Linked DNA regions of Cricetulus griseus. The protein of the gene in region 1 purifies or fractionates together with the protein of each later gene. This does not show direct contact. Links are inferred from orthologs where the notes say so. Each region holds a gene or a part of one and is shown on either strand. Other genes may lie near its edges.

What was found.
Region 2: the proteins of Ptp4a2 (region 1) and Cnnm4 purify together in Homo sapiens (affinity purification with mass spectrometry; 6 studies listed by BioGRID and IntAct, counting the BioPlex papers as one, with this or other methods). This does not show direct contact. The link is inferred for Cricetulus griseus from reciprocal best matches to the Homo sapiens genes PTP4A2 and CNNM4.

The regions. Positions count from the first base shown.
Region 1 is NC_048595.1:23,179,448-23,188,839, reverse strand, and holds the end of Ptp4a2 (protein tyrosine phosphatase type IVA 2), read left to right. Parts: intron 1-3,409; coding exon 3,410-3,540; intron 3,541-4,914; coding exon 4,915-4,989; intron 4,990-6,337; coding exon 6,338-6,446; 3' UTR 6,447-8,654; downstream 8,655-9,392.
Region 2 is NW_023276807.1:11,723,532-11,733,926, forward strand, and holds the start of Cnnm4 (metal transporter CNNM4), read right to left. Parts: upstream 4,956-10,395; coding exon 3,128-4,955; intron 1-3,127. UniProt on the Homo sapiens protein: Probable metal transporter. The interaction with the metal ion chaperone COX11 suggests that it may play a role in sensory neuron functions. May play a role in biomineralization and retinal function.

The DNA of each region.
Region 1 (9,392 bases):
TCTGTCAAAGCATGAGAACCTGAGATTGGCCCTTGGAACCCAAGTTAAAAAAAAACATGTCTCAAGAAATTTTAGAAAAAAAAAGAGGGTGGGTATGGCAGCACCTGCCTTTAATTCCAGCACTGAAGAGGCAGAAGGGAGGCTGTCTTTGATTTCGAAGTCATCTGGGTCTACATAGTGAGCTCTAGGCCAGCCAAGGCTACCACAGTGAGACCCTGTCTCAAGAGCCCCCCTCATCCCCCAGTGAAGATTGTCATTTTTATATTTTGGAGATTAGTGCAGTATTCAGCTTTTGTTTCTGGCCTACTAATTTTAATATAATAAAATAATTTCCATCAGAATTACTTCATATGGAAATATCTTCTCCTTTTTGTAAGTACTAGATTAGTGACTTAGTATTTTGTGGATAAAAAGGCGGGAGAAAAAGCTAAAGGCTGGGAGAAGACATCCTGGTACAGAGTAGCTCTTTGATAGGTTTCTTTAAGAGCTCTAGTAGGGTTAGAGCTAGTTCAATTCAGTTCAAATACAGAGCAAGCATGTTAATGATGCTGTTTGTTTACAGAGAATAAGAGAGTGGACTAGCTAAAAAAAAAAAAAAAAACTCTTACCATTTCTCTGAATAATTGCTCTTGAACCTTTGTGAGGGAGATGTGGTAGGAAGAGAACTGGAGCTTTTGTAAGTAGCTGGGGAAAAGTAATAAGGAGAGGTAGATTCTGTGGTCTCAGGTACCAACCTGATTAGTAGCTTGGAAGGCAGTTGATGCAGATAAATTTCCTTGTTGGTAAGGTAGTCATTTTATGTCTGTGATCCATACTTTTTTCATTTTTGCTTTAGTAAAAACATTAAAACTACCATTAACATTGTGTTTTTTTAAAAAAAATTGTTTCACTGCTTGGCATTGGAACAATTGGCTTGTATTCTATTCTCAAAGATTCTAGGGAGCTGGAGAGATGGCTCAGAGGTTAACAGCACTAACTGCTCTTCCAGATATCCTGAGTTCAAATCCCAGCAACCACATGGTGGCTCACAACCATCTATAATGAGATCTGGTGCCCCCTTCTGGCCTGCAGGCATACATGTAGGCAGAACATTGTATGCATAATAAATTAAAAAAAAATCTTAAAAAATTAAAAAAAAATACTCTAGTCCATGGGCTGGAACTGTTGGTAAGAATACATGTGTAAAATACAACCCTGTGATGTTATTTTTTGAGGCAGCCTGATGTTGTAGGTAGGCCTCAGACTCACTATGTAGTTGAGGATGACTTTTAACTGATTGTCCTTCTTTTACTTCCCCAGTGCTGGGGTCACAGGTGTGTGCTGGTGCCTTGGTTTATGCAGGGTTTTTTTTTGGAGGGGGTGTGAACCCTATACTTTATATGTACTGGCCTTGTTTTTTACTTTTATAAATAAAATTTCCATTATTGTATACATTTGTGGAGCCATCAAGTCCGTCCAGTCCTGTGTATTTTAAGGAAAGAGTTAAAAATTTTGAACTGTGGTGCATCTCTGACCCAGCAGAAAGCTGAGCAGGAAAATTACAAATTCAGGACTATATTGGTTGCAATGAAGGAGGCCAAGGCCAAAAAAACAGAAGATTCTGAAATTAAGCTAAATAAAAGTTAATTTTTCACTCTTGTGTGTTCTTTAGTAGGCACATGAGAAATCACCTTGTTATGATTAATGAGCAGCATGAGGTAACTTTGGATTGACCATGGTCTTTGAATCAGTGATTTTGGCAAACACCATAAAATAGAATGAACTACAGAACCTAAATTAGTTTGTAGAAGATAATGTTAGGTCTGGGATTTATTCCCATCCTTTAAGTTTGGCTCTCTGTTTTGTTTTAAATAGCTATGCCTGATAAAATGAAAGGTCTAACTTAAACTTGAAAAAAATGAGGTTACCTTTTCCCACACAGATTTATTTATAGTTCCCCAGTAAAGAGGTCTTTGGAAAGAGTCACTCTAGAAGGATAGTCCTCAGATAAAGACCTTCCAATTGTTTAAATGCTCTTGCAAGTCATAGGCGAATTGGGATAATTGGTGATGTCAGTATCGTTAGTGCAGGTTCTGATATTTCTAAATTATTTAATGCTTTTTTTTTTTTTTTAAGGCTGCTGTTATGTTTGCTATGCCTTCAGTCCCAACACTTGGGAAACTGAAGCAGGAGGAGAGGGGAAGCCAATCTGAGTTACATTTAACAAACAAAAGAGCTGGGAATGGGAGGCAGAGGCAGGTGAATCTCTGTGAGATCGAAGCCAACCTGGTCTACGTAAGGAATTCCAGACCAGCCAGGACTGTATACTGAGACCCTGTCTAAAAAAGTAAAACGAATGCATGCACACAGAAAGAAACTGATTGTTAGTAAAGGCAGCATGCTCTGTGTATTGTTTCTTATCCAGGTGCACTTTAAGGATGTGCTGGAGGAAGTAAGCGTCCACTAGGGTGCTTGTTTACAGTTTAACTGTACTGGCAATCATTAGTAACACTGACAGCCCTTTAATTATGAGGCATAGTTGACGGTTCAAACATTTGCTGTTAGGAAGAGGGAACGAGTGCATAAAATGTGGTGACTCCTACCCATTTATGTTGGAGTTACTAGGAACTCTTGCCTGGGTATCAAGGAAGATTAGACAAGCAGTAATGTGCTGTTTGGTAAATGCAAGCAGGGCTGAAAGACAACTCAGATTGATGGCTAGACAGAAAGGGAGACTGGATATGCTTGTGTTCCACCTTTAGTTCCAGCAATAGGGAAACAAGAGGGATCTTTAGAGTTCAAGTACTAGCAAGACTATATGGAGACCCTGTCACATCACCAAAAGGAAGAAGTGGGGAAGGGTATTTCATCACATGCCCATAATCCTAGAATTTGGGAGATGGAATTGGGAAGGATCAGAAATTCAAGTTCATCCTCAAGTTCAAGGCCAGCTTAGACTACATGAGACCTTAAAGAAAAGAGGATACTTAAAATAGTTAGCCGGGCTCATGCCTTTAATCCCAGCACTCAGGAGGCAGAGGCAGGCTGATCTCTGAGTTTGAGGCCAGCCTGGTCTGTCTACAGAGCAAGTTCCAGGACAGGTTCCAAAGCTGCAGAGAAACCCTGTCTTGAAAAAACCGGAGGGAAAAAAAGGGGGAAAAAAAAAAGGTACACAAAGCCAGGTGGTGGTGGCACGTGTCTCTAATCCCAGAACCTGGGAGGCAGAGGCAGGCAGCTGTCTGTGAGTTCAAGGCTAGCCTGTAGCTAAGACTACACAGAGAAACCTCAGAAAAAAACAAAAGAATAAGCTTAAGTGATATGTTAATTCAGTTAAGCCTGCCTGCCCTGGCTAATATTTCCAGTTCATTTGTATTAGGATGTTCGTCCCTGAGAACATACCAGTTTAATGTAAAAAGTCATTTCTTTTCAGGATTGGCCGTTTGATGATGGAGCTCCACCCCCTAATCAAATAGTAGATGATTGGCTAAACCTGTTAAAAACCAAATTTCGTGAAGAGCCAGGTTGCTGTGTTGCAGTGCATTGTGTGGCAGGATTGGGAAGGTAAAAACTCTTTAACTCTTAAAAATTCATTATTGTATCTAAGTAAGCCAACGGAAAGTTTCACCTTGATAGAATTTGCATTTAGTAACTAAATGATACTAAATTGTTGGAAAGGAAATGAGCAAATGCCAGTGTAATAAGCTGTCTTAAGAGCCAATTGTGGGGCTGGAGAGATGGCTTAGAGGTTAAGAGCACCGACTGCTCTTCCAGAGTTCCTGAGTTCAATTTCCAGCAACCACATGGTGGCTCACAACCAACCATTATGAGATCTGGTGCCCTCTTCTGGTGTGCAGATACACATGGAAGCAGAATGTTGTATACATAATAAATGAATAAAATCTTTAAAAAAAAAAAAAAAGAGCCAATTGTGTTGGGTCTGGATCTGATTCTAATGCTATACTGCATGTAGTGAGGGTCCCTGCCCTATTTCAAGAAATAAAGATTTAGGTTGTTAAGTGGGCAGCAAAATTTACATTAGAGATTAGAGTACTTGTATATATGGTTGGGTCAAAATGAAAGGGGATTTAACAGAAGGTTAGTTTACACTCTTGAGCAGTGATGTATGGATAGTGAGAATTGACTAATTTTATCATCTTTTTTTTTTTTTTCTTGCCAAGTATTGCTTGAGATAGTGTTTTAACACTTTGATCAACAGAAGGTTAAATGCCAATTTATGATGTGCACTGTGACTCAGAACTGTGAGGTACCATTGCCTTCAAGGTGGTGGTGACGTGGACCATTAGCTTGCTTAGGACTTAGTATGGCAAGGTTTCTTCAAGAGGTTCAAAGTTTCCTTCCTTCCCTTGAAGACTAAAGGTGGTGTGAGGCTTTACTAGGTGTCTTTATTTCTACAGCTTGTCTCAGGTAGTCAGAGATGGTGTCCTATTAATGTGCTTTCTGAGACATCTTTCTTGGGGCCGGGGTGGGGAGTGCAGGAGGGAATAGAGAAGCTGAGTATGGTGGTGCTGGGAGGGAGAGGCAAGGATGCCTGTGGAGTGTGAGTGAGTGTGAGGCCAGCCTGGTCTGCACAGTGAAACCTTGTCTCAGAAGAAAAGAAACTACCAAGTTGGAGGGGAGAAAAACTTGAGTTTTTTTTTTGTTTGTTTGTTTGTTTGTTTTTTTTCTCATTCCTTATTTGTAAATTGTTTTGGAGACAGAGTCTCCTTTTTTATAGTCCTGGCTGCCCTAAAACTCACTGTGTTGACCAGGCTGTCCTTAACTCACAGAGATCTGCTTGTCTTCCAAATGCTAGGATTAAAGACCTGTGTTAGCACTCCAGCACAAAGGTCATATTGGTAGCGTGTAAGCTTTCAGTTAAAAACCTCTTATAGACTCTCACGGCTGTGGGTACTTACGATGGCCTTCTCTCTGCAGGGCTCCTGTGCTGGTTGCACTTGCGTTGATTGAATGTGGAATGAAGTATGAAGATGCTGTTCAGTTTATAAGACAGTAAGTATGAAGTTGTATGTTCAGAGACCCCAAGTGGGGCTATGCATGAGGAAGAAGTTATGTAAAAGAGTTATTTGGAATAAGTAAGAACTGGATGGTTTGGGCTTAAAATAGTTTTTGAAAATAGAGAAAAAGGTAAAGGCAAGTGACAGAGAGTACCAGAAGTTTGTAAGATTTGTTCTTCTAATATAGATGTCAAATTTGGGCAAGAAAGTATATGGTTGGCTGTCTAGGAATCTTGACAATAAGTCGATTGACCAGTGCTGCTTTCAGTGGATTCCATATGACCAGCAGGCAAAAAGGAGGAGGAACAGATTAATCACATGGTCCTCTTTTCTTTTTTCTTTTTTTCTTTTTTTTTAAATTTCATGTGCATATATTTGTGAGGATGCCAGATCCCCTGGTACTGGAGCTAGAGATGGTATGAGCTGCCATGTGGGTGCTGGGAATTAAACCTAGGACCTCTGGAAGAACAGTGAGTGCTCTTAGCCAATGAACCATCTCTCCAGCTCCCATTTGGTACTCTTGAATGACCTGTTCTCATTAAAAATTACAATGGTAGTAACCTGAGATCTCTGACACTGTAGGCCATACTGTTCCTTTCTTTAACAAAATTAAGAGGAAAAAGCAGACTGACAGGAGACGTGCAATGTATGGCTCTCAGCTCTGAGACAGTGGTATCCCACTGTTTGCCACCCCAGTCTGTCCGGACCATGAGGCTTTGCCTTCCTATGTTCTAGTTTTAGTTTTTAAAACCATACTAACTACTTGTTTCTCATTCTGATGTGAAGAATCTGTTAAACTAATTGGAAAGAGTGTAGTCAGGTGTTCTTGATTAAACCCTGCTGCTCTGTTTAAATGAACTACAGTCATAGCCAAAGAAACATATTCTTAGCCAGGTGGTGGTAACACATGCCTTTAATTTAACCAAACTTGGATGGCAGAGGCCAGGAGATCTCTGAATTTGAGGCTAGCCTGGTCTACAGAATAACTTCCAGGACAACCAGGACTACACAGACAGGGGGTGGGGGCACCCAAGTTCATGTCCCAACTTTTTTTTTTCCTCCCGGAGACAGGGTTTCTCTGTGGCTTTGGAGGCTGTCCTGGAACTCATTCTATAGACCAGGCTGGCTTCGAACTCACAGAGATCCGACTGCCTCTGCCTCCCATGTGCTAGGATTAAAGGCTGGCAATGTCTCAACTTTTTAAAGTGATGTGTTATGGGGAATATGCAGGTTTTCATCTGGGAAGAGCTAGCTAGAAGGCATTATGCCGTAAGTAAATAGTATATTTCAGTAAGGCCTGCAGTTCTTTGCTACATGATAATGTACCATTATTGTATTTTCAGAAAAAGAAGGGGAGCATTCAATTCCAAACAGCTGCTTTACTTGGAGAAATACCGACCTAAGATGCGATTACGCTTCAGAGATACCAATGGGCATTGCTGTGTTCAGTAGAAGTAGAGAAATGCTGACTGGATCGTGGCGTTAGAGGGAACTCTTGGTACCTGGAAATGTGAATCTGGAATCTTACCTGTGTCATCAAAGTAGTGATGGATTCAGTACTCCTCAACTCCTAATGATTGAGAAGAGAGCAAACGATAAAGAAATCCCTCTATAACACGAATAAAATGTTTAAGAAAAGAAAAAAGAAAGGAAAAGGGATTAATTTAGTGAAAGATGATTTTGCTCCTAGTTTCGGAGTTTTGATTTCTGCCAGGATTGAATTATTTCAAAATATCCTGTGTTTTTAAAACTGTTTTCAAAATAGATGTCTGAGGAAAACCAGCAGAATATTAACCAGTGTGGAGCCAGTTGTTGGGGAGAACACACTTCCATTATGCTTGGCACATAGGTCTCCTTGTGGTGGGATTTGGAGGAGGTAGATTTTCCCCATCTTCTCTCTTTCTTCCTGCGCCCCCCCCCCAATACATGTAGATGGAGTAGAAAGAAGAAGCCCTTGTTGCAGTAGATGTGCGTGTGTCTGACAGCCTTAAGCCCACCTGGGCACTTTTAGGAAAACAATAAAAAACACCAAAAAAAAAAAAAAAAAAAGCAAGCAAAGAAAAGGCAGTACACGTTGTATGATCTAGGTGATTTTTAGTCTATTGATGGTGGGTGTTCACCTTAGTTTTCTTTTCCTCACAGCCTTGGCCTGATGTTAGGTGTGAAAGGTAGCCAGGAGCCTTTTGTTTTGGTAAATAGATAGGAAATGACATCGTAAAGAGGGTCTGTCTCCTGGAACTTAGCTGAGAGTAGAATCCTTTTTCCCAACAGTGGAACAAGTGGGCATCCCAGAAACTATTGAAGAGAGGACTTACAGGCCATCAATAGTGTGTCTAGGAGAGTTAACATATTTCCACAACTGTAGAATTGTGGGCTGTTGATTTGCTATCTGACAGTGTCATGGAAAAGCAATATCTTAACATTTTAGGACTGATTTCAGAAATAGAAGAGCAACAGAATATTCACAGTATTTTGGTCTTGAGAAATGTCTGTGGTGGTGATTTTCCAAATTACTCTCTGTATGTTAGTGTAGCCACCTTTACCATGTTATTCTTCTGAGATTAAAAAGGAAAAAAAAATCATTGTCAAAATCAGCAATGTCTAGTGAGTGTGTATGCACAGGCTGTAACAGGCAATGGCAAGCAATAAAGTGATTAGCAAAGGGGACTAAGCTCATGGCATCATGTGGTAAGCATTTTTTGGGTTCTCTGTTAAATGTGCTGATACAGAAAAGCTGTTTCTTCCTTATTTGCAGAAGACAGTTGACCAGGCTGCAATGACAAAGCAAGTGGAAAGGCGTATCCAGGGACTCGGGCACCCTCGTCACCTAAATGTTCCATACTTGACAGTGCCCTGCTACCCCAGCCCTGACTGTAGGCCTAGAATTATCTTGCCCTAGTGGAAATTTATTGTGCAGAGCCATAAGCTTCCTGTTTTGTTAGTATCGGCTAGGCCAATAGGATGGACAGCATCTCATTGATGATACCTCAGACGCTGGCAGCTTTGTGAGCTGCCTTTACTGTTGCTGGAATCGCTCTACTTTTAACTACATTCGAATCTGGAGTCCTTCCTGCCTTATCCCAGAAAATGAAAAATAATGCTTTTTTGATGTTGTTTCTAGAATTTTAAAGTAAAAAAGTGATGATACAATCCAAAGTTCTCTTATTCCAGAACATGACAATAGATTGCTTTAACATAGACTCAAGATCAGAATATCCTACCCTCTAAATTTAGATTAACTGTTGACTCCAGGGGTTTGGTCAATGCCAGCAAAACTTTTTCCACTTGACATGCTCAGAATCTTTGTGTGTGCATGTGTGCTCCTGTGTGGGTGTGTGCATGCAGGTGTCCATCAGCATCAGTCCTGCCTGTGTAGAATTACACTCCTGCTTCTGTGAGGAGGAGGAAGGGTGGATAGAGCAACAGAAAACAGCCCTCATTTTGTTTTAAATAAGACTAATGTTGTTCTCACAACTGGACTCCTTTTTTTTTTTTTTTTTCCCCTCAAAATTAAAGCTTTTTTCTTTTGAATTTAATGAAGTATTGCTAGCGGAAGCCAGTTTGGCATGGTGAGAGATGTCAGACTCTTGAAAGGTGTGAAGCCTGATTTAAAACCAAACCCTGAACCCTTTTAAAGAACAATAAAGCATATTTTACATGCTCTTTGTGCATTTTTTTTCCCCATCTCCAAATTGAGTTTATGTTCGATCTCCTTTCTCTAGTAGTCTCAAGGCCTGGTTTGTATCCTGATATGTACTTCCAGGAGGTGAAGAGGCTCAGTTAAGATGTGCCTGACCGCCAGGCATTGGTGGCACACACCTTTAATCCCAGCACTCAGGAGGCAGAGGCAGGCGTATCTCTGTGAGTTCGAGGCCAGCCTGGTCTCCAGCTCGAGTGCCAGGATAGGCTCCAAAGCTACACACAGAAACCCTGTCTTGAAAAACCAAAAAAAAAAAAAAAAAAAAAAGATGTGCCTGACCTTACAGATAATACATTTTCTGGTTCAATGAACCTTGGGCTCAACAGTATAGGAATTCATTTGTTTACATCATAGGTTTGGGTAAAGCATTACAGTTTCCTTTAAACTCTTAAAGTGGAGAATTCGCTGCTTTGTGTATCATAGAATTTCTCTTTAATCACTGGTAAGCTAGATAAGATGCCAAGGTACAAAGAATTTAAAAAATGAAACCTACTTTAGAGGACTTCAGTCTTAAGGAAACAGAGTTATAGTGGGGTGGAAGCTGGTTGTGGTGCTAAGTTATGTCTGTAATGTAAGCACTCTGGCTAGGGGGATGGAATCAGGGCAGTCAGGCTACCTACCCTGGGCTACATGGCAAGACCCTGTCATGGTAAACAGAGTGATGACTTTGTGCTATGGTAACTATAAGCTATTAGTCC
Region 2 (10,395 bases), on another chromosome or scaffold:
GGTACAGATGAAGGTGCCACAGCACTCCATCCAAAATTCTAAAACTTCTGGAAAAGGAACAACCGTCTCCCAAATCCAACAAGTCATTCATTCACTAGGTAATGATTTATTTAGGCCTTACTATGTGCCAAGGGCCATTCCAGAGCTATCGATACAATCATCAGGGCAGAGAGCCTGCCCTTTGGAATCTTATATTGTACTGGGTGGAGACAGACAACACAGCAAACCACTGAGCACCAGAGCTGGCAGTGAGATGCGCTATGAGGAAAGGAAAAAGTAGCACAAGGTGGAGGATTGGGAAGGCAGATGGGATGTGGGGGCTACAGGCCTAAACGGGGCACCAGCAAGGTCTCACGGAGGTGGTGCTGAAGAGGCAAGATGGGGAAAGGGAGCCTCTCTAGCTCTCTTGGAGAATAGCCCTGGAGTGGGAGTGTCCAGGTGTGTTCAAGAACAGGAAAGCCTGAGAAACCTGGCAGACAATCATCCATTCATTTGTTCAATTAACGCTCGCTGAGGCCCCATCTGTGTTTTCAGTGATGAAAACCAATAAGGCAGAGTCGGTCCCACACTCAACGAATTTACAAAGCTGGGGAGTGGAGATGAAAGAACCTGGTCCAGGCTTAGCGACACACACCTACAATCCTAGCACTTGAGAGGCAAGTCCAACCTTAGCTACAAAGCAAGACCCCGACTCAAAACAGAAACCTAAACAGACAGACAGAAAATTACAGCTAGGCAGAAGGCTTCCAGCAGAGTTGGGTCCAGTGCCTTCACACAATTTGGAGGTGAAAGATCCAGCAAAGACCCTAAAATATGTCACTCTGTCTGGCATAACACTGGTGGTGCTGAAGTGATCGCTTGTTCCTTCTTAATAACAAAAGCAAAAAGCCTTCCAGACGCTACACTTGGAAGGAAACGCTTATATTCTAAGTGCACACTCGGTTTGTTTGCCACATCACAGGCAGCCTCAGGCTAGCAGTAGGGACCAGATGGAAAGACCAAGGAGAGGCCACACAGTGGGAGGTACGGACATGACAAGGCACCTCTGTGGTAATGTATGAACTAAGACTGGTCTCCTAAGGCCAGGAAGGCGCCACACAAGGCCCAGGGTCTGTTCACAAGGGGTGGCCACCCCATCACACTGACATCTCCAGTGTCCTGATACACAGGGTAGAGTGCACCTGCCTCTCTGTGAACTGCTTGGGATCCATACTCCGGAAAGTCCTGGATCAAAGTGGGGGGGGGGGGGACCAGAAGAGCTCTGGTCAAAGAGATGCCAGCTTCTTTTTTTTTTTTTCTAGCTCACTTCTTCACAGGATAGAGTAGCATCCAAAAATGCCCTGTCCAGACCCAGCATGCTCCCACAGAACAGAGCAGCCCTGCTGATCAGGAGCTGGACACCAAATTAAGCAAATCCATACTAGTTGCATCCAGATCTGACCACACTGATTGAGAGGTACTGGTGGGTATATACGCTACCAGTAACCACCTCAAAGACCACAGAGGCAGGTGAGAAGGGAGCTGTAAGATGGAGGTAAGACACACTCCCCACTGCCCCTGTGCCCCAACTCTGACCCTGGGCAAAACAGGATCCTAGGTCTGTACCCTCAAATCTCCTTCCATGCCACCCAGACTATCTCCTGTCCTGGTTTATAACCCTCAAGACATTCTTAGCTCTGATGCTGAGATCTGTCTAGAACACTTAAAAGAGAGGGTACCAACCTGACCCTTTGGCCTGACCCAAGTACACCTTTTGGTCTTAAACCAAATCTGGCAAGACCATCTCTTTTTCTCCTGATCCCACTTCAAGACTGTTTCCACCACTTTCCAGTTCAGAAATGACCGCAGGCTTATACACAACTAGGGTTCAAAAGTGGTTCCCAGGTTAGCTTGGGCCTTTGCCAGAAACAGCTCTACATATGGGAAGAAGGTTGGGACCAAGATTATGAAGAAAAGTCCCTACAAAATGAGCCCCAGGTTCTTCTCTAAAGAGTTGCCCTTTCTGCCCTGCCTCACCTTCTTCAGCCTGCGAGGGTTTTACCCCGTAATCACCTTGTTTACAGACACTTTGAGGGTTTCAGGATAGAAGAAGAGGAGGAAGTCTTTGTTGGGAATAAGGAAAGGGGTGTGTGCCCTGAGCTTTGAGACAGGGTAGTAAACCCTAAACCCTCTACCTGGGAACCAGCCAAGCACACCTTAGCACACACACACACACACACACACACACACACACACACACACACACACACACACACACACACACACACACACACACACACACACACACCACACACACACACACACACACACACACACACACACACACACACACACACACACACACACACACACACACACCCGAGCAGTGCAAGGCCAGCTCAAGATTGGTGGTGGGGCAAGTTTATGTGGAACAATAACCCAAGGTTGGTCTCCATGCTTCTGCCAAACAGTGGAAACTACTACTTGGCATTGTTCTGAGTCTGGAAGCCAAGGAGAGACCTCCCAATAATGCTTCTGTGGGTTGGAGGGCGACTGACGGTACGCCCCTGCCCCCAGATCTTCCAGAGCTCCAACCTGGGAACAAACTGGGAAGAGGTGTGCTCCCCTGGTGGTCACTGACAAGCAGAGCCAGGAGGAGGTCCACTAGACAGGACCACCTGCTGAGCCACAAGCACATCTTTGGCTTCCTCACAAGAGGGGTCTGAGCTAAGATCAAGCCACTTCATCTTTTAAGAGTCCTCTCAAATGTTTCCTTCCCTGTGACATCCTCAGCTGTCTAACTACTTCCCCTCCTCACCCTCTAAATCTCCAAGAGGCCTGGTGTTTGCCTCTTTACAGACATGAGCCTTACTGTGTATCCCTCCCCCAGCTCCAGACAAATGTGTCTCTTTTCCATTCAACTAAAAACACAAAGCACAGTACCTGGCAGACGGCAAAGGCTTGAGAACTGTTTCTGCTGCACCTGGTAACATTCGCCTCAGAGGCACAGGAAGTGATGGACGAAGGGACACAGAACCAATCACACAAATAAGAGTAAAATCAGCAGACACAGAACATGCAGGGGACGCTTCAGGGGGATCAAGAGGTGTCGAAAGGACATTTAACCAGGAATTACACTGGTCCTTACCCTTCTTGAATTCCTCCAGCATGGCATCCAGCTTGGTGTCATGGAAAACAAAATGAACCGGGTGGTTGTAGAAGCGAGTGATAGTCTTGAGCGGGGTGCAGTCATCAGGGTCCACGAAGGCCAAGTCTTTGACATAAAGGATATCTACGATATTGGATTGCTCATCTTCAAACACGGGAATGCGAGTATAGCCACTTTCCATTATCTCCGACATGGTGTTGAAGTCCAGGATGGCATCACTGCGGATCATGAAGCAGTCGTGGAGCTGGGTCATGATATCCTCCACAGTTTTGGTCCTTAGTTCCAGGGCACCCTGGATCATATTTAATTCCTCCTTCACTAGGTCGTTATAGGGTTCTGTCACCTTCAGCATCTCCATCAGCTTCTCCCGATTGTAAACAGTGCGAATCTCCTGACCCAAGACGAAGTCCAGGAGTTTGCTAATGGGGAAACTCAGAGGAAAGGTGATCAGCATAAAGATTTTGGTGAGAACAATAGTGTTGGCACCCACAGCCAGCCCATGTCGGGAGCACAGGGCTTGAGGTAAGATCTCCCCAAAGATGACAATGCCAATGGTGGAGGAGGCCACTGCCATGATGCCAGACCCGATGAGGTTGTCTAAAAGGATGGTGAGGGAGGTGTTGACTAGCACATTCCCTAGGAGCAGCGAGCAGAGCAAGTAGTTGCCCTTGCGCCGGATGGGCTCTATCTTGCGGGCGTACCTTCTCTCCTTTTCAGTTCCACAGTTCTGCACGATGCGTAGCTCCATCGGGTCCAGGGCCATAAGCCCCAGGTTGAGGCCAGAAAATATGCCCGACAGCACTAAGAGCACCAAAACGAGAAGGATGTGCAGCCACAGCGGCAGAAACCTCCCATGCTCCTCCACCATGAAGAGCAGGGAGTCCTTGTCCGTCCATTTGAGCCAGGGCCCGTCAGACCGGGCCCGGGTGCACAGTGCGTACAGCTTCATGTTCTCGCTCCTCCGCAGGAACTTGGTGAGCACCACTAGCATCCCCGACGTGTTCCCGCGGCTCACGTTGACCAGCCGCTGGACCACTAAGTCCTTGGTGAGCTCCAGGCAGTTGGTGGAGTTGTGGACCGTCTCGGCGTCGTCCACCTCAGTAAAGGAGATCAGGTTGCTGGAGATCGCCCCCAGGCTGTGGCCGTAGAGCCTCAAGTTTACCGTGCTGCCCTCTGACACGAAGATGATGCCATCCGAGTTCATCCCGCACGACTTGTTGCAGCTCGCCAGCCTCATGCCCAGGATCACGCTCTGCGGGGGGCTGCTCTGGCCGCTGGCCGCCCGCATCCATAGCGGCAGCAGCAGCGCGGCCAGGAGGAGGCGCCCTCGGGCCGGCCAGCCGTCCCGCCGCCCGCCCCCGCCCCCGGCGCCATGTTGCTCCGGCCCCCGCCGCTGCCCGCGCCCCGCCGCGCGCCTCACTCGGCGCCGCCGCTCCTCCCTCCTGCCGCTCCGCCGCCGCCGCGCCAACTGCCCCAGCAGCGGGCCTGACGTCAGCCGCGCCCCGCCCCCGCCCCGCCGCCCCACGCCCCTTATTTGCATGCGAGGTCCCGCCCCTACCCGCGCTCGCGCGCCCGGCTTAAGGAGGTCTGCGCGCTTAAGGTGGAACGGCGCTAGGAGAACGCGGGAGCCTGCGGCGGGGGTGCGCCCAGCCAAGCGTCCGCGAGGCGCCCGGCTTCTCCCGCGCTCCTCTTTAGGGAACCCGGCTCCCAGGCCCCGAACGCCCAGCTCCTTGCGGGTCCTCTGCACCCTGTAGCTCGGCTCTGGGTCGGGTGGCGCTTCGCTGCGAGCACAGGGAGGAAAATGCATTTCCTGATTTAGAAAAAGAAAAGGGAACCTGAGAACTCGGGCTGGCATTACAACCTCCTCACTTGTGGGGTTTTTGCTGATCTGGACCCGAGGTCAGAAGTAGGTTGTCACTGCCCCCGAACTCCCCGCACCCCACAGCCCACCACTCGCTCTTCCTAAGGGCTCTCTACCCAACCTCTAAAGGCGCCTAAAGGGGCCAGGCTCTAACTTAGGTTTACCACCTGTCATTTCTATTTAGGGATGGGTTTTCATTGAATACCCAATGTGTGCCAGACAATCGTTTTAGGCTCTGACGATACAGCAACGAACGAGCCAAAATCCTTGCCCACCTTAGTTTACAGCCTAAAACCGGAAAAAAGGCAATAAGCAAATAAACACATACAGAATAGTTATTGAATCTTTCTGGCAACACAAAGTATTTTGCATCTGTAAGAACCTAGGCACAAATCCTAGACCTTTCAGATCTCCACCGTTAATCCTATTTCATGTGTGAAAACGACAGTAAGAATGATTAGTTGTTTGGTTTTCTTCTTGTTGTTGTTTGAAACAAGGTCTTATGTAGCCCAATTATAGATCTAGCTTTGAACTCTCAAAATCTGAGACTGACTCCTGATCCTCCTCCCTTTACCTCCCAAGTGCAGGTTGACAGGCGTGCACCACCATGCCTGGATTGGTTGTATTTTTTAGTTATAGTTTTAGTTTTTATTTTGATGGCAGAAATAATGATAACACAGCACCACCTGACTAAGTATGTGGGAACAATTGACTTACACATTGAACATGACAGGACAACTCTCTGCGAATAGGCTTTGCCTATGTAGTAATAGTTGTTGCTGCCTGCTCTTTCAGAACCATATCCTTAACCCCAAATTGTGGTGACTGGCCAGCTGAGGCAGCTGCATGTGGAAACTAACTGAGAGGTGTGGTTGCTGTTCTAGCCTTGAGATCACTGCTTCCTGGACAACCCTACTTGGATGTCATTCAGCAGCTATGACTTGAGTGTGTGAGGATGACCACAGCTATCCACCCACAGCTGTCCGCCCTGTAAAGGGCAGGACACGGGATGACAAACATCCTTATCTTAGTTGTAGAGCTACACCAAACAGCAGGGACTGGGCTGACCCCTGAATCTCCCAGCAAGGCTTCCCCAGGCCCTGGAGACACAGAAAGCCCTTCACTGTCTCCCTGTACAAACTCCCGTGTTTATTTTTACTTTGGTACACAGTCTGCCAATAAAAGCAGCAATCAATACCAGCAGCAAAAAGCCTAAACAGAAGGGAGCACTCATGCAGTGCTGTGGGGGAGACCTGGTAGCAGAAGCTGGATTTAATGCTCTGGCATCAAGGGCCTAGTTCTGTAAACAGCCTGCTGGAGGAAGTTCCTTGTCAGGAGGTGCCTGGCCTCGCACATACAGTATGTCCAGAAGACTAGATTTTTAGTGAACAGTAGCCTCAGGTTGGGCACTGGCCAAGACTTCCTGTCCCCTCTTTGTCTCCTCCAACCAGGAAGAGCGGCCTGAATTGTTTGAAAGCCACCCCAGGTCCCTGAAAAATCTTCTCCCAGGCCTCCTCATCATCCGTTGTCCATTGGCCCCTGCCGCTCTTTCTGTCCTTAAAACTTTCCCAGTCTATTATCGACCAATTGACTATTTTTATTTTGCTCTTTTGGGGCTGTGCACTCGAGCACTGTATAAGTATAAGCTGCACTTATACTGAGCGCTGCACTCAGTATAAGAAACAGAAGCCAACAAAGGGAAAGAAAAATAAGCACTTGACTACTGGGTTAAAAGTAGATGTAAAGAAGCAGAATAAAGAAAGCAAGATAGGAACAATGCAAGGGTCTGCTAAGAAACACACAGTCTGTTAAAATCAGGTTAACTCACTATTGGATTCCCATAGTGATTAGGAGAATAAGAGTAGAGTCCATGAAGTAAAGAAATGAAATTTGGAGCTGGGCAGTGATGGCATGCACCTTTAATCCCAGCACTCAGGAGGCAGAGGCAGGCAGATCTCTTGTGAGTTCAAGGCCAGCCTGGTCTACAGAGCAAGTTCCAGGACATCAGGACTAAACAAAGAAAACTTGTCTCAAAACACCAGTAATAATAATAATATATCCAAACCTCCCAAGTGCTGGGATTAAAGGTCATACACAAAAATTAAATAAATCTAAAAAGAAATGAAATTCCTCTTTGATCTGGCAGAGCAAACAGAACTTGCTCTATAAAAAATGAACGCAGCCGGGTGTTGGTGGCGCACACCTTTAATCCCAGCACTCGGGAGGCAGAGGCAGGCGGATCTCTGTGAGTTCGAGGCCAGCCTAGTCTCCAGAGCGAGTGCCAGGATAGGCTCCAAAGCTACACAGAGAAACCCTGTCTTGAAAAAACAAAAAAAAACAAAAAAAAAACTCTTGATGGGACCCAGGGAGATGGCTCAGTTATTAAAGTGCTTGCCATTTTAAGCATGAGGACCTGAGTTTGATATTCTGCACTCTTGTTAAATAAGCTGTCTGTGATCCCAGCACTGGGAGTCGACGACTGGAGGATCCCTGGGCCAAAACACAGTGAGCTCCAGAGTAAGTGAGAGACCTTGTCTCAAAAAAATAAGGTGGAGTATAGTAGAAGAATATGACTGACATTGACCTCTTAACTTCATGTACTCATAGGCGAGTTCAGATACACACACACACACACACACACACACACACACACACACACACACGCGCGCGCGCACACACACACACACACACACACACAAATTAAATAAAGAAATGGTAATATAAGAGATATCAGAGGAGGTCAGACTTGCAATTTAGTGGTTGTGGCTGTCAGTTTGCACCTGTAGGTAGGGCATCTGCCATACTTTCTCAAAGAGTAATATAGAAAAGAATCTATAGCATACAGCATCAGGAAATGTGGATGACTGTGAGCATGGAGAAACTTCTCTCTTTGGGGACAGAGAAAGGCACCTGTGTCTCCACCTTGGGGTGGCAAGTCCTTACTTATCTGAGTTGTCTCCTTTGGCAAGTAAGGAGTTTGATGAAGGTCCTTCTTAAGTGATGAGCATTTCAAACCCCTCCATTCATGAGCTCCTCAGACCTGGATGGTCCCTTGTGAGTGTAGACCCTATGGCAGTATGTCTATCTCTCCCATATTTGCAAGCACTTCTTTTTAGTCCTAGGCAATGAAGCTACCTCCAGGAGTGTCACTCCTTTTCTTGTTCCTGGCATCACACTAATGCTGGGGTTTGAATGATGAAGGACTCTGGCAAACCAGGATCTAACCTTACCAAGATGGATTCATAGCCTCGTCACCTTCTAGGTTCCCAAGATGAAGGAACTGGAGGCAGAAAAGCAATGATGCCCAGAGTCTACAGCATGTCCTGAACCCACGCTGGCAGTCAGCTAGGCTATATCATGGACCCTGGTGTGGAAAGCCCGTTTGGGGCAATGGGGCATTTATCATCAGCACATATAGCAGCCTATGCACTATATATGTTCTTGTTAGGCATAGCACTTTAGGCTATGCCTAAGCCTACATATGTTCTTGTTATTTGTAGGACATGTCCAAATCACTGTATTGTCTCAGGAGGGAAGGGACCTTTCTCCCTGTATATGGGGACAAAATGACCTGAAATCCCAACTCAAATCATCACAGCAAGTGAGGGCATGGGAATCTAGGTATAGAGAGTGTCATGATTTCTGACTTCATTGAGTCAGAGAATAAAGTGAAAACATCAGGTTAGAGGGCCAGACCAAAGAAAGGATGTGTCCCAGGCAGGAATTGCCAGCCACAAAGCCAAAAGACAGTCAGTATTAGTTGGGTAAGTAGGTTTCAAAGGTCCCTTAGGCACCTGGCATGGTATTCTCCTTGGGGGCAGAACCACAGGAGACTGGATGCTGCAGTGTTGGGGTTCAGAGTTCTGCAGGCACACTGGGGGCTGCAGACTACCCATGAGGTCTGGGGTTCTGGAACATCCTGGAATGCTATGTGATGATGTCTGGTAAGGTCTTCACAGGTTATGGCAAGAAATAGATGTGCTCAGTGACCATGGTCATGATACAAATGATGTAGCCAGGATTTTTAGAGAGGGCATGCCCCTGTCCCTTGCTTTGAAAAAAAATGTATTTATTATTCAGGAATTTTATACGTATAGTCAATATACTTTGATCATATCTACTCCCTTCTTCAACTGGACCTGCAACCCACAATATGTCTCCCTCCAGCCTCATGCCCACCCCATTTTTAATAAGCTGCCAAGTCAGATTAGTGCTACCTATATGTGCTTGGGTGTGGGGCTATAGCCTGGAACCTGGGCAACCTACCAGCGGCTGCACTGGCAAAGAGAAATTACCCTTCCTTCCCCACCAGCTATCAACTACCAATAGTTTCTCAGCTAAGGGTGAGGGGTCTCATGAGACACTCACCCATCCATTCCAAAATTTTGACTGGCTTGATCTTGTGCAGGAACCACAACAGCTATTAGTTCTTGAGTGTAGTGACTATGTCATGTCCAGAAGATAGCATTTCATAGCTCTGCTCTCCACCCTCCTGCTTTTACACACACACACACACACACACACACACACACACACCGCAAGATGTTCCCTGAGCCTTAGTGGTGCATATGGAGGAGGGAGCTGTTAATATAGATGTCCCATTTAGGGCTGAACAGAGTCACTTATTCTCAGCACTTTGACTACTTCTGAGTCCCCTTACAAGAAGAAGCTTCACTGACAGACGAGAGAGCAGCACAGATCTATGGGCATAGACATAAATATTTAAAAGGCAGTTTGGCAACATGGTCATTTAGCAAAACAGTAATAGTGGGTTCCTCCCTAGATGCCCTCATTCTTTTTTAATCACCGTGTGTCTCCACCTAACCCTGGCCACAGTCGTGTTCTTCTCTTCCCTTTTCTCCAGAGGGAGATCTGTAGAGAATAGTGGGGAAGCGGGGAGGAACCGAGAGAAAGGTCACATAGGACCAAACAAGAGCACATCTGGACACTTTGGCCTCTATATAGAAAGGAGCAAGGAAGCTGGAGTGGTGGTGATGCCGGGTAAAGGTGAACTGGAGACAGGTCTTCAAAGGGGTCAGAGCCTGGAAAATCAGGGAGAGAGAAGCCTACCGTTCAGTATCCAGGAGACCCCAAGTCCTGCTTTTCCAGAACCTCTGTGAAGAGCACTTCCTCCTCTTCCCTCTGCTGCCCACTGCCACCTGCGCACTGGAACACCCCACTGCCCTCAATCAAGTCTGGTTACCCCAGAAAGATTTTTTCTTTTGCTTCTGAAAACACACAAATACTGTTTGTCTCTCTGTCTCTATCTCTTTTGATTCCTTAAGTGGTCTAGCATTGAACTAAATCCCTAGTTCTTTATATATTCTTGAAATAAGTCCTGGGTTCTAAGATTGCAATTTACATCTATTGTCTTCCATACAATAGG